2 linked regions of the Daphnia pulex genome follow. The protein of the gene in region 1 interacts with the protein of each later gene in a pairwise test. Links are inferred from orthologs where the notes say so. Each region holds a gene or a part of one and is shown on either strand. Other genes may lie near its edges.

Evidence for each region.
Region 2: the proteins of prefoldin subunit 5-like (region 1) and prefoldin subunit 2-like interact in binary tests that used the Homo sapiens proteins (3 or more experiments, as listed by UniProt). The link is inferred for Daphnia pulex from reciprocal best matches to the Homo sapiens genes PFDN5 and PFDN2.

Annotation. Positions count from the first base shown.
Region 1 is NC_060023.1:2,199,017-2,205,771, reverse strand, and holds prefoldin subunit 5-like, read right to left. Parts: upstream 4,095-6,755; 5' UTR 3,945-4,094; intron 3,889-3,944; 5' UTR 3,854-3,888; coding exon 3,740-3,853; intron 3,672-3,739; coding exon 3,537-3,671; intron 3,476-3,536; coding exon 3,401-3,475; intron 3,337-3,400; coding exon 3,231-3,336; intron 3,171-3,230; coding exon 3,097-3,170; 3' UTR 3,043-3,096; downstream 1-3,042. Other genes in the region: 1-acyl-sn-glycerol-3-phosphate acyltransferase alpha-like, read left to right, coding at 1,609-1,787, 1,850-1,983, 2,046-2,227, 2,301-2,630; uncharacterized protein LOC124197339, read right to left, coding at 6,618-6,755. UniProt on the Homo sapiens protein: Binds specifically to cytosolic chaperonin (c-CPN) and transfers target proteins to it. Binds to nascent polypeptide chain and promotes folding in an environment in which there are many competing pathways for nonnative proteins.
Region 2 is NC_060024.1:9,270,088-9,276,576, forward strand, and holds prefoldin subunit 2-like, read right to left. Parts: upstream 3,045-6,489; 5' UTR 2,958-3,044; coding exon 2,800-2,957; intron 2,701-2,799; coding exon 2,577-2,700; intron 2,514-2,576; coding exon 2,331-2,513; 3' UTR 2,278-2,330; downstream 1-2,277. Other genes in the region: uncharacterized protein LOC124199325, read left to right, coding at 1-247, 308-823; aurora kinase-like, read left to right, coding at 3,515-3,582, 3,714-3,899, 3,981-4,115, 4,178-4,336, 4,414-4,587, 4,674-4,826, 4,904-4,943; uncharacterized protein LOC124200621, read right to left, coding at 5,191-5,200. UniProt on the Homo sapiens protein: Binds specifically to cytosolic chaperonin (c-CPN) and transfers target proteins to it. Binds to nascent polypeptide chain and promotes folding in an environment in which there are many competing pathways for nonnative proteins.

The DNA.
Region 1 (6,755 bases):
GTGAAAGAGAATGTTTGGTCCAGTCAATTTTGCGAAAAAAGCTCGTCAGGAATGGCGCATCTGGTTAAGTAAAGGGCAAAGCCAAGGTCGAGTGCTACAAACCAAAAGGAAGCAATGTTTATTGTAATATAAAACATGCGGTAATCTAACCACAAAACAAAGTTCGTTTCTCAGCCTTTTTATGGGACAAATGTTTTTCACCGATAAAATCGCTGAATTGCAATTTAAGAAATAAGAATGGAATTTTGCGGTAATTTAAAAATAAGGCTTTTTAGTGGGCATGATAATTCTTCAGCATCACGCGAGTAAGATGAGATGGGTTATAGTTTGATACATTCTCGTTCTCAAATTTCTGTTTGAGTTGACGTCAGTTGACGTAAACATTAGCGTTCACAGTTTGCAACGCGCGTATACAATATAATGTCGCCTCTCACAGCAACCACAAAATTATTGAATAACAAAATTTGTTGCATTTGTGTGCGCCTGTCTTATCGTGTGCATCCGTTCAAACATGCAAATAGACCAGGACATCCGTTTCAATTAGGACTATCAATGAAATTTGGTTTTTGTTAACCAACTGCTAATTAAATAAATTCATACGTGATTAGATAGAACCGCTTTTTTCGATTTCGAAGCTTACTAGAGAAATTCAAATGCAGATGTTTGTTTACATGTTAACACCTTGGCCCTGTTTTCTATTTATCTGGATACAAAATGAACCTCGTCCTCTCTATGTATGGGCCTGAACGGTTTCGAGGTCGGTTGTTTTCCCGCTAAAGGGGTTACGGTTGCCGCCGGATCACTCGTCGTATTTCGAGAGTAAAAAAAAGCTGGTAAGTCAATGTATGCCTTAAAACACGGTTGTTGAATGGAACTCAAACGTCCAAAACCACTATTGACCATTACGGATATCTTTTCAAGGATTTTGTGGTTTAGTTTCTCCAAGATTTTCTCAAATAAAATAAGCTTACAGCAATGCGTGAATTTGTAACCTTCGGCAAACGATCAAACGCAGGTTGACAAAACTTTGTCATAGTCGCACCGCTCCAGTGGCCCACTAAAGTTGAGAGCTATAAAAGGACCGAAAGTTTTCGACTATGTTTTGCCAACAAACTGGCAAACATCACGACAACTTGTATGGACATTTGGATAACCATTGAAATGCATTTTTGCGAGCATTTTTGCAAGCCTTTTTAAAACAAAATAGAACAATCTATCATTGACTTGTGGTTTCATAGATGGCGTGAAGAACTGATTTTGTGGGAAGGAAGTTTTATGTGGTTGGTATGGTTACGGTTATATATGACGTCTGAGGCAGACGAAAAAAAAAACTCGTTGGGGTTGTTAACTACTCCTCCCGTTGTCGTCTTCGTACAGATTTTTTTTTTCTGATTTTTTCCCTTCGGAAACAAGATTCTTCCGGGTCGAGTCATTTGAGATCTGTTTACTTTCATTCGTGATTGAGACTTTGAGTATATAGCGTGCAACTTTTCCCCTGCATTGACAGGGGACTGGCGGGCTTTTTCATCCTGCTAGTGGCGTGATATTCCTTTCTATCGTGGTTCGACGCTTCTGTCTTATCGACAATTTCCGCACATTATCAGGAAAATGTTCTTCAGTTGGGATGTACTTTTGGTTTCCTTAGTGGTTCTAGCCATCACTTATGAAACACAGTCATGGTTCAGATACTACTTTCGATTTACCCTCTACATTTCCATAGTCATGCTAACTGCTGTGTTCCTAATCCCTATTGCCATGTTCAGGCCTGGCAATGTTCATAACACAGTGTAAAGCACTTTAAATATTTCAATTAAAAAAGATGGCACCTAACATCATTTTCATTTTACAGACTTGTTGCTTATTTCCTTGGACCCCTCTTAAATGCTCTTCTTGGAATGAAAGTGCACCTACGGAACCCAGAAAATTTTGTGAATGATGGTTCAATTATTTGTGCAAACCATCAAAGTTGCCTTGATTTCCTTGGTAATATAGTTATTTTTAATTATACATTGCTTTTACTCCAATGAATTCATTCTCAACATCAGGGATGATAACTCATTGGCCCACTATGGAGCGTTGTGCAGCTATTGCAAAGAAGGAGGTAAATTACATTGGTCCATTTGGCTATGTAGCAGGTCTTTGTGGAACCATTTTCATAAAAAGAAACAAAGCACACGATTCTCACGCTACAATGAATGAGGCAGCTGAGCAAGTGAAGCAGAAAAAAGTAAGTTTCTTCTGATTTTAATTCTTTAATTAATCTGAGTAGCATTTCAAGAATTGTTTTGCGCTTTATTTAGTTGAAGTTATGGATCTTTCCAGAAGGAACGCGTAATAGCGGGAAAAGAGACATGCTCCCATTTAAAAAAGGTGCTTTCTACATTGCCATCAATGCGCAGCTGCCTATTAGTCCTGTCGTTTACTCGTACTACTACTTTCTTGATCACAAACAAAAGCGGTTTGACCCAGGTGAAATTGTAATGACCGTATTACCACCAGTGTCTACTAAAGGCATGACAATGGAAGATTTACCTGAGTTAATGGAGCGAGTGCGCAACATGATGTTGGAAGTGTATCAATCCTCTTCTGACGAAATATCTAATGCTAATAATGCTCAACCTTCTAGTTAAAAGCTCTGACATAGACTAAATCCGCTGGTCTGGACTAATGTTGCACCGCTTCAAAAGTGAGAAATTTAAAGTGTAACAATTGATAATTTTTTTCTGTCAAGGCGAAAAAATGTGCTGTCTAGTCCCCGTGTAGACCTGAATTCCTAAATTTTTTTGTCCCATTTCCAATGTTCGGTTTGGCAATTTTTTTTAACTACTTTTTGTGTGTTAACTTCGCTGTTGTTGCGTATGTTCAATGGCCATCAAGTTTATCTGCGACCGGGCAGGTACAACGATGCACAAAATCGTTTTTTCTATTGGAAATCTCCCTTTTTGTACTCCTCCATGTTATTAACAGTGCAAGTTTAACTGTTTGAGACTCAGCAGCTTCATTACGAATCGAAATAAAAAATTAAAGCAATGAAAATGTCAATTTGTTGATGATGAAATTTTATTATTCATTTATTATACTGTACGGATGGTCTGTTTAAGCGCGAACTGCAGCCTGAGGGTTGGCGGCAACTTGGGCTTGTACTTTCAAATCCATCACTTCAGCAACAGCTGCAGTAAAAAAATCTTTAGTACATAGAGAAAATTAAAAATAATATCAAAGTAAATTACCATCTCTGACTTGACTCTTTTCAATACCAAGCATCTGTACTTTCTCCATTTGTTCAGTAACAAACTTTACTTTACGTCTGAAATAACTCTTAGCTTGTTCAATTGTCTGAACATTAAACAATAAAACTTAGTAACCATTTCAATCTTTTGACAAGATTATCAGCACTTACATTCTCTGCATAGTAACCGGTTCCAATATCAATCAAAGGTTGTTCTGGTTTACTGATTTTTCCAGGCACATACATCTATCAAATATAAGGTCTTATACCAAGAAATCATATGTACAATTACTTTAATCTAGCTTACAGATCCTGTGAGTGGAACAAGTATAGGTGCACCTTCCTGGGTAGATTCTAGTTTCTCAGCACTTTCAGCTGATTCTTGAAATTTTGTCTGTGCAATTTTCAAAGTCTGAAGAGAATCTTGGTACAGGCTTAAATCCTATACAGTCAAAAATGAAAGAAAGCAGTTATAAATAATTCTATAAAATAAAATAATGAAATAATGACTTGTTCAAGTTGCTGCTTTAACTGAGACAGCTGTGGAAGTGTCAAAGTGGTCAAGTCTATTTTCTGCATATTATCTCCTCCTTGGGCTTTATCTTTTTGTGCATTACCAGCCATTTTCACAGGTGTGTTACTTGATTGGAATCTATCAACTTAACGAGAAATACAAATATATAGAACCGCAAAAATTCGAGTATTTTGGGTGTACCTTTAAAAGGAAATGTCCACCACCACCAGTGTAAAAGAGCAGACGACGTGATTTAAAGGTTTGGGCGTTTAGCATTTCTAAACAGCATCTGTTCTTATAAGATGGTTTCAGAGAAAAACACCTGAAAATGAAGTCACAATTATTTATAGAAATATTTCTAAAGCCTTCAGTCATTGAGAATTCACGGAGAAATTTTTTAAATCATGCATCTTGTTTCTAATTTGAGACTTGAATTCTTTTTTCAAGTTGCAAAAAAATAGGAATAAGTATAGACGGATTGGATTCCTTGTTATTGTGATTGCGAAATATTCAGCGTTGAAGGAGCCAGAGGAAAAAAACCGGCCTCTCGGCGACAGTCTCTACTTCATCGGTATCAAGATCAGGAGCGATCAGGAGTATGAAAAGGGCAGACAGTGGTGCGTTTTCCGACCTTCCGTCATGAGTTGACGATTTCTTCACAATCAGTCAGACGACAGATACCGGGTGACACGACACGTGCCGCAACGTAAGACCGCTATATATTTCCAATCGTCTACAATCATCTTGCGAGACACACAGAGAATAGTCTGAACTCTTATGGCCTATTGGCTACTGGAAAGGCAGGAATCCTTCAGAACAGCAAAGATCAATGTACTGGGGGTCACCGAGCATCAAAATCTGCTGGCCAGTCCAGGATGTAACTCCCTTTTATCACTTTCGATATCTCGATATACAGAGGTTCTTGATATACAGATATTGTGTGGGCGGACTGGAATCTGACTAGACACCAGACAGAGCTCTCTTTTACTGTTACACTGAGACTAAATAACATTTTTTTAATTTGACAGCCAATAAGGACACTATAAGCTGCAACTTAACTAAGCGATAAGAAAACGTTGCTTTTTAACGAACAGGACTCGATAGTCTATGCACAACGCACTGGCACAATTATGCTTACCATTCACACAATGAATACTTTCAGAATCAATTACTAGGATGCACAAGTCTAATCAATAACTTTTAATGAGGAACTCAGGATGAATTGAATATGTAATGTATAGCATTTTTTTAAAGTATTTTTGTGTATCGTGTCAAATATTTTACATGAAGAAACAAGCGAAAAATTTAGACTAAATGCATTAAACGATATTATGTTTTTCTGACTTCTTTGACAATATTAAAAATGGGTTGGTTATCCATGGAATGCTGATCTAAAACAAGATTTTTAAAAAGTAATTACCAATAACGAAACAAATTATTTTCCGATATTCAAATTACCTGAATTAATTGTATCGGACGGATCTCATCAAAGAAGAACAAAATACAATTATTTGAAAAAAAAGGTGACTTAACCGATATTCGGCCGGCACTTTCCTGTCTGCGTTCGGCGGCTACCGGGACCACAAGGACGCATTCCGGCTACAGCGACGGATCTACCTGATGGGGATCTACTTTCGGCTTCCTTATCTTCCAGATTCCGTTCATCAATTTCGTTGCCCCCGTGATGAGGTCTCCTACCAATCTTAAATGCTCTTAATTGACATCCGACGGTATTTGTGGCGTAACGCTCTAGCGTTTCATTTTCGGAACAAGGTCCTTGGCTCCCCAACAGCCAACATTGTTTTTCACTTGCTTCACTCGATCCTTCATAATCGGGGCTCCAAAATACGTAGTGTCCGTCGGCCAGGCATCCGTCTGGAAGCGTTTCGCACGACAGTATTCCGTCGTCGGTTAACGTAAACCATTCTCCATCTTTACACGGTCCCTAATCACAGACAAAGTTAATTTTTTAAATTGTTTACGCACTCTTTAAAATTAATAATAATAAAAAAAAACCTGGGAGTTTTGCTGATAGCATTCGCCAGTTTCAGCGGAATAGATGAACAGACTGTTTTCGCAATCACAGATGCCGCTGTCGTCCGAGTCCAGATAAAATAGCTGATTAGGTTCTTCGAGGTCGAACAAAAACATAATATAATAGCAATAAATTTAAATTGTAATTATTTTATTTAATAATGTGTGTTAAAAATTTACTGCAGGGTCCTTGCGTCATCAGCTGGAAACACGATAACTGATCATCAATTATGTAAAACCTTTCATTTGGCGAAAGGCAGTCGAATCTATTTCGAATCACAGTCGATTATTTTTGCAAGTAAATGGCTTTAAAAGTAAATTAACTTACGCTGATGATAGATTGCTGACGACAGCTAATGGAGACTGAGTTGACAAGTCGATGAGGCTGTTTTCCGCTATGAATCCTTCATGGGTTGCGTTGGTATGGAATAAATCCTGATCGCTGGTCCAAGAAAAGATAAACACGATTAGTTGTAGGAGGTTAGCCATTAAGAGAGTTAGTAAAGATTCGGCCATAATACGAACACGCACCAATTTAAACTGGTCTAATGTTTTCACTAGAGAGGGGAGGAATGCGTAGTAGGCGTATTCAGACGATTTACATCATTCCTCTCGCTGGATTTCCTGCAATATTGTCCGACCTTTGACACAGAAACATGAACCCCCTTAAAAAGCTGAACTTCAGTCCGAATCGAATAGCATAAGCAAGCTCATGTGGCGCAACTCTCAAAATTGATAAGCAGTGCAGTATGCGTGTTGTATTCATTTATATGACTATACAGAATATTACAGTCTAACTAAAAGAACAAAACACAAATTAATAAATCAACAGCAACGTCATCAGTTGTATTTAAAAGGGGAAACTAACAAATAATCAAGTTTGTTAAAAAGAAGAACCAATTGACCAACCGTAGCCCGATCGATATTGCTGGCCAGATTACCTTTTTGTTCCCGTTCTACCAATTGTTTCATAATTCC
Region 2 (6,489 bases), on another chromosome or scaffold:
AAATGGCGGTATCACGCGCTATGGTGTGCCATTTACGATAGATTCATACGGCGTCGAAAGATCTTTCGAACCTTTCAAACTGCAACCTAGATTATACCTGAATGTCACTTATGATATTTATGAAGTAGACCCGACAGTGCCTCCCACCGAGAGGGCAGAGATAATGCTAGAAGATGATATGCTTAACAATTCAAAATTGAAAATTACTTGGGATATCGCTGTGTCAACCAATCCTACCTACAATTCAGTAAGTTTCGCACTACAAATTTAAAATTAACAACAAAAAAAAACTGATCATTGTTTACAGGAGCAATTGGCTGCCTATGCATACTCGATGTCTGAACCTGAATATCTGTACATTGCGTTTAATGACGAAACAAGCGCATTTCGGGATGATTCAAATTACTATACATATTACTACAAGGGATTTTACGGACTTCTCTTGCTGGCGTGTCAAGATTATGACTTCGAACTTTACAGAGGGGTGAATTACACAGTTCCGGCCGAAGTGAATCAATACATTCGCTTCAATCGATTTTTGTCATCAAGTAAAAATTTGGAAATAGCTCAAAAATATGCTAACTCCTCTACGGGACAAGGGACGATATTTGTAATCCAAGGAACTAAACACGCTAATCACATTGCACCATACAGCACTGTCCCAGAAGACGAAGAGTACCTTATTTCCCAAGATGCGCAGTTCTTTGTAACAGATGTTGGAACAATGGTGTATCCTGATGGAAATGAGGCTATTCAAGTTACAATGTCTTTGGTCCCTTACACAACTGACAACAATATTTTTGTTGATTTGTCTAGAAAATAATCAAATTTCAAAAGGCAAACATTATTTCATTTAATCAACAGTTTTTAACATTAAATTGGCATATGTTAACATCTGAAATAAACAGCAGAAACAATATCTATCAAAATAAAATCCTCTTTGCGCTATGTCGTTTAGCAACACAACTTACCTCCTTTTCCAAACAATACTGAAGTGCCGTTAGTTTATACAAAGGTTCAGATTTTGTGGCATAATCTACCGAAACAACTTGTTCACGTACTTGTTTTCTAGTAACCAAGGATATTGATTTGTCCGTAACAACTTCAAATGTGAAGTGCTCAGACCGGCTAAGACCAGTTTCCTCACAAATGTTTCTGTTCTTCAAAATATTATTGCGTACCAATTGGAGGAAATCAAAGGAATAGCGACATGCTCATGCCCAATTCAGCTACGATTGTTTCCCCTCCTCCTATTGCCCTGATAGTTGACTGCTACAAATTCCATCGTTGCTTTTTACAACTTATAGACGGAGATTCACGATTGGCAAGCAACTAGCAAGTAGGGAAAGTAGAAGACCATCAAAATTTGAATAATTCCACAGAATTTGGGAACACGAATTATTTTTTAAAAATTACTTGATATTTTAAACAGTTAAATACGAGACACAAATCAACACACAATTTCTAGTGGATATAATTATCACTTGGATTTAAGTTTAAATTTACTACGAACGTTTTATGAAGATGTGTTTTGAAGTTACAGAAATCATTCTCATCCTTAGTGCTATTCGCAGAGAGGATAGGCTCACTCTAAAAGAAACGATGACTGTAAGAAGTTGTCTTGTTCACTAATTCAGTTTCTTTAAGAAAGTCCCGGTAAAAAAAAAAATAATAATAAAATCCTTGGTTGGCTGGCTTAATCTATTTAGATAGTAAGCCGCGAGCAGACAAAGAAAGAGAGCAAACTTACGATGAGAATTTAACCTGACATCGAGACCAATTCCCACACATCGTCGTCGAATCGTTTTGGTGTATACTGCATAAGTAGACTGTCTAGACCAACTTTTCACCTAGAAAATAAATTAAATATTTTGATCACCATTGTTTACTTATCTGTAAAACAAATTTTACGGAGAACTGCGCCAAAGCAATTTTGTGGGGAACACTTTTGACTTTTCAAATATTACACACAAACTAAACAGTTCGCAGCAGCAAAAATTATTGGTTTAAAATCCGGTGTGATCTCAAATCCATATGATTTTATAGCGTTGTCGCTCTTCGGAGAAACCAGAGATAAACTAAGTTATTGTGCATTCAATAGAAATCTAATAGAATAATTCCTGCTAGTAATTCATAAATACATCAAAAGTTAGAATAGCTAAGCTTCTTAAAAGCTTTCTTGGTAAATCACACAGATTGTTTAGTACTCTAACCTTCCATTAGGATAGTAGAGCAGATGAAAGTATTAGATTCATAAAAATAAGCAAAAGCAAAACATATGTTTTCTGATTTTTCTTCAGCAGCAGAGCATACAAAACAAGGTATATCAGTTAAGGTTTGGTGCCCACCAAAACCCCCTGATTGGCAACTTTATTTTCTCCTTCATTATCAGGAGCTGTAGATGGGAGTTCATTTTGATTTCGTATCCTGATATTATTCTTTTCCTTGAAGTCATTAATTTCTTGTCCCTTGGTGGAAATTTGATTATTGAGAACTTCAATTACTTTAGTCATCTATATAAAAAATAAATTGTAATTAAAATTACAACCAAATAATACAATATGAAAACAAGTTACCTGGTCCCTGTTTGATGTCAGTGCAGGCAGAACTTCTTTGACAGTTCGTTCAACTAGTACTCCACCAACCATGCGAAAGCACTTCCTGTCTTCATCCACATTTTGAAGGGTTTCTATTACTAGTCTGAGTAAGAAAAAAAATATGACATAGTTAATAGTAGGAGTAAATTATCCTCTACACGCTATGGAAGTCTGTTTATAAAGTGAAACCGGTAAAACTTACTTGTGCTCGTTTAGATCCATTTCGAGCTCAGATAATTTACTAGCTAGTTGTCTCTGTTCAGTTCGTAATCTTTGAAATCCTTGGATGACTTCTTCATTCGATTTGCTAACATTTTTCGGAGCATTTTTAGCTTGCTTTTTGCTTCCGTCAGTCGCCATTTTTTACGTATCAAAAGCACTAAGCAGCAGACAAACTTCAGGCTATTCTACTTCCTACCCTCCTAGTTCCTATTTGAGACTAGCGGTAGAATGTAGCGAAGTCGACGATCGACGATTGTCGAAATTGACTTAGGCCTATTTGCAGATTGCAGAGCACCGAGAACAATAATCGTCTTAATGATAATGAAATAATTTAATAATAAATTAGTCTTAGACACGAAGACGAAGTCTATAGAAAATCTGAGAAAAACGACAAACGGAGGAGGCGAAAATATTTCCATAATACCATCATACCGGCAACGCCGGTTGTTCTGCCGTTTGAATATTTTCCCATTTGTCCAAAACCGTCCAGTAGCAGCAGCACCGTAGTAGACCACGGTTTAGGGTTTTAGAGTTTAGAAGTTTAGACATTGGTATACAGGTATATACAATTACAACACATTTTGAAAATTTAGACCAATCTAAACGTTTTTTACGAAAATGTAAGTGAATAAGTAAGTTTGAACTTCGTGTTTTTGTAAATGTTTCATGTTTTGATTTTGAAATTGACAGATAACATGGAAACCAAGCAGCCACTTAAAGAGAACTCTTCAAACCAACCTACTGTTAAGTTGGAAAACTCAAAGTATGTTAGAATTTTTTGTTTTTCAGAATCCAACAAAGTGTTTCTCATTTATCTTCTTGACTTAAATATTTTAATTGTGGCATTAATCTTCCAAATCATGTGTGTTTCTCTGCTTGTTTGTTTCAACCCAGATGGAGTCTTGATAACTTCGAAATTGGCCGTCCTCTTGGTAAAGGGAAGTTTGGAAATGTGTACTTGGCTAGAGAAATCAATACCAAATACATTGTAGCCCTGAAGGTTTTGTTTAAATCTCAACTACAAAAATGTCAGATGGAACACCAGTTGAGACGTGAAATTGAAATCCAGTCACATTTACGGTACATACTAATGAGATCACATGTTTTATGGAAAATTTATATCACTAATGCACATCAACCTTTTCTGCGACTCTACTGTAGACATCCCAATGTTTTACGCATGCACGGATATTTTTATGATGAAACTCGTATTTACCTCATCTTGGAATTCGCCGCAAATGGAGAAATGTACAAGTACCTGAAACGCCAACCCAATGGCCGTTTTTCTGAACCACAGTAAATTTTTTAAAATAACAGAAACATAAGTTCTGTGGAAAATAATTTACCCCTATTTTTAGGACGGCCAATTACATGGCTCAGCTAGCTGATGCATTGATATACTGTCACGCGCGGAAAGTAATCCACCGAGATATTAAGCCAGAAAATCTTTTACTAGGATTTCATGGAGAAATTAAAATAGCCGATTTTGGTTGGTCCGTCCATGCTCCTTCGTCTAGGTAAAGTAAAATATGATTGTTTAGTGTAGAACCAAACAAATCGAAGTTATTTATGTTATATTGTTTTTGTTCAATAGGCGTACAACCATGTGCGGGACATTGGATTATTTAGCCCCCGAAATGGTAGAAGGGCGCTCTCACGACGAACGTGTAGATTTGTGGACTCTTGGTATTCTTTGCTACGAATTCTTAGTGGGATCACCTCCTTTTGAAGAGGAAAAGCAAGATCTCACTTACCGCCGTATTTGCAAGTATTAATTTTATCGCATAATTTGCCAATGTGGTTAAGAGGCATTCTAAGCGTTTACATTTTCCATGCCATAAATTCGTATTGTAGAGTTGACTTGAAATTTCCAGCACATCTCTCTACTGGAGCGAAAGACTTGATTGCTAAATTACTCAAACCACGAGCAGAAGATCGTATCCCTCTACGAAAATTACTTGAACATAGCTGGATTCTACAGCACCTTTCAGACGAAGTTCGATCCAGGTATGATTTTTTTTTTATTTCATTTTAACACTCGTCCTCAAATATATTTGTGACACATTACGTGTGTATTTCATCAGGTTACCGACTTTCCAGATAATGCAACCCAACAAAGCATAAACTTTGATATTTAATGGAACCATACATTTTTAAAGTAAAATTTTCAATTTGTAACTTTGATTCCCGATTGCCTTTATCTCTTCTCTCATTTATGTAATACAATAAATACTTTTCATAAATGCTGCTCGCACGTAAGTTATTAATGGCTAAGTTTATCATTCACATTATTACATCAAATATTATGCAAATTTGTACTAAGTTCGCCAGTCATCCTTTACATCCAATTCTTTCTCTATTCTGTTTCCAGTTACATCATCCTAGTAAATGTTAAAGGATGTAATTTTAATAAGAATTTGAATTATCCACTATAGAAAAAATTCACAATTGAAATTTATTTAATTATTTTAAAATGACATTTATTTTTTAAGCATCTAAAATTAGCTGCTAACGACGAAAGTAAGTTTTATTCATTGAATGAGTTCAAGAAAATCCCTAATTGAAAATTACCCGTCAAGTTAACTACAATGAATAAAAAAACTAGATTTTCAATAGAGCATCAGTCGTGAATCCCTTTCTAACTGGCAGTAATGATTAGATTTGTAATAAATTATGAGTGAGAATCCATTTTATTATAGCACAATAAACTACGCGGTAGGTACAACACCAGATAAATATTAAACATTCAAACAATAGATTTTACGAAGAATACTTCAAATAGTTGAGAAAAAACAGAATATGCTTCAAAGCACAACTGAGAAAGGACAAAGCTTAGTAATATATATGAAGGAGCAGACGTGGTTGTGGTTTAGTAGGTTGGCTCAGAGTAGTACTTCGGGGCTGCGGTGTAATAAACCGGAGCGGCAGCTGTGGTGGTGTAGTAAGTTGGCTCAGCGTAGTATTTGGGGGCCTCGGTGTAGTAAACTGGGGCAGCAGTAGTAGTGGTGTAGTAAGTCGGCTCAGCGTAATACTTCGGGGCCTCGGTGTAGTAAACTGGTGCAGCAGTAGTTGTGGTGTAGTAAGTTGGCTCAGCGTAGTACTTTGGTGCCTCGGTGTAGTAAACTGGAGCAGCAGTTGTGGTGGCGTAGTAAGTTGGCTCAGTGTAGTACTTTGGCGCCTCGGTGTAGTAAACTGGAGCAGCAGTTGTGGTGGTGTAGTAAGTCGGCTCAGTGTAGTACTTCGGGGCTTTGGTGTAGTAAACTGGGGCAGCAGTAGTAGTGGTGTAGTAAATCGGCTCAGTGTAGTACTTTGGTGACTCGGTGTAGTAAACTGGAGCAGCAGTTGTGGTGGTGTAGTAAGTCGGCTCAGCGTAGTACTTCGGGGCTTCGGTGTAGTAAACTGGGGCAGCAGTTGTGGTGGTGTAGTAAGTCGGCTCAGTGTAGTACTTTGGTGCCTCGGTGTAGTAAACTGGAGCAGCAGTTGTGGTGGTGTAGTAAGTCGGCTCAGCGTAGTACTTCGGGGCTTCGGTGTAGTAAACTGGGGCAGCAGTAGTAGTGGTGTAGTAAGTCGGCTCAGTGTAGTACTTTGGTGCCTCGGTGTAGTAAACTGGAGCAACAGTTGTGGTGGTGTAGTAAGTTGGCTCAGTGTAGTACTTTGGAGCCTCGGTGTA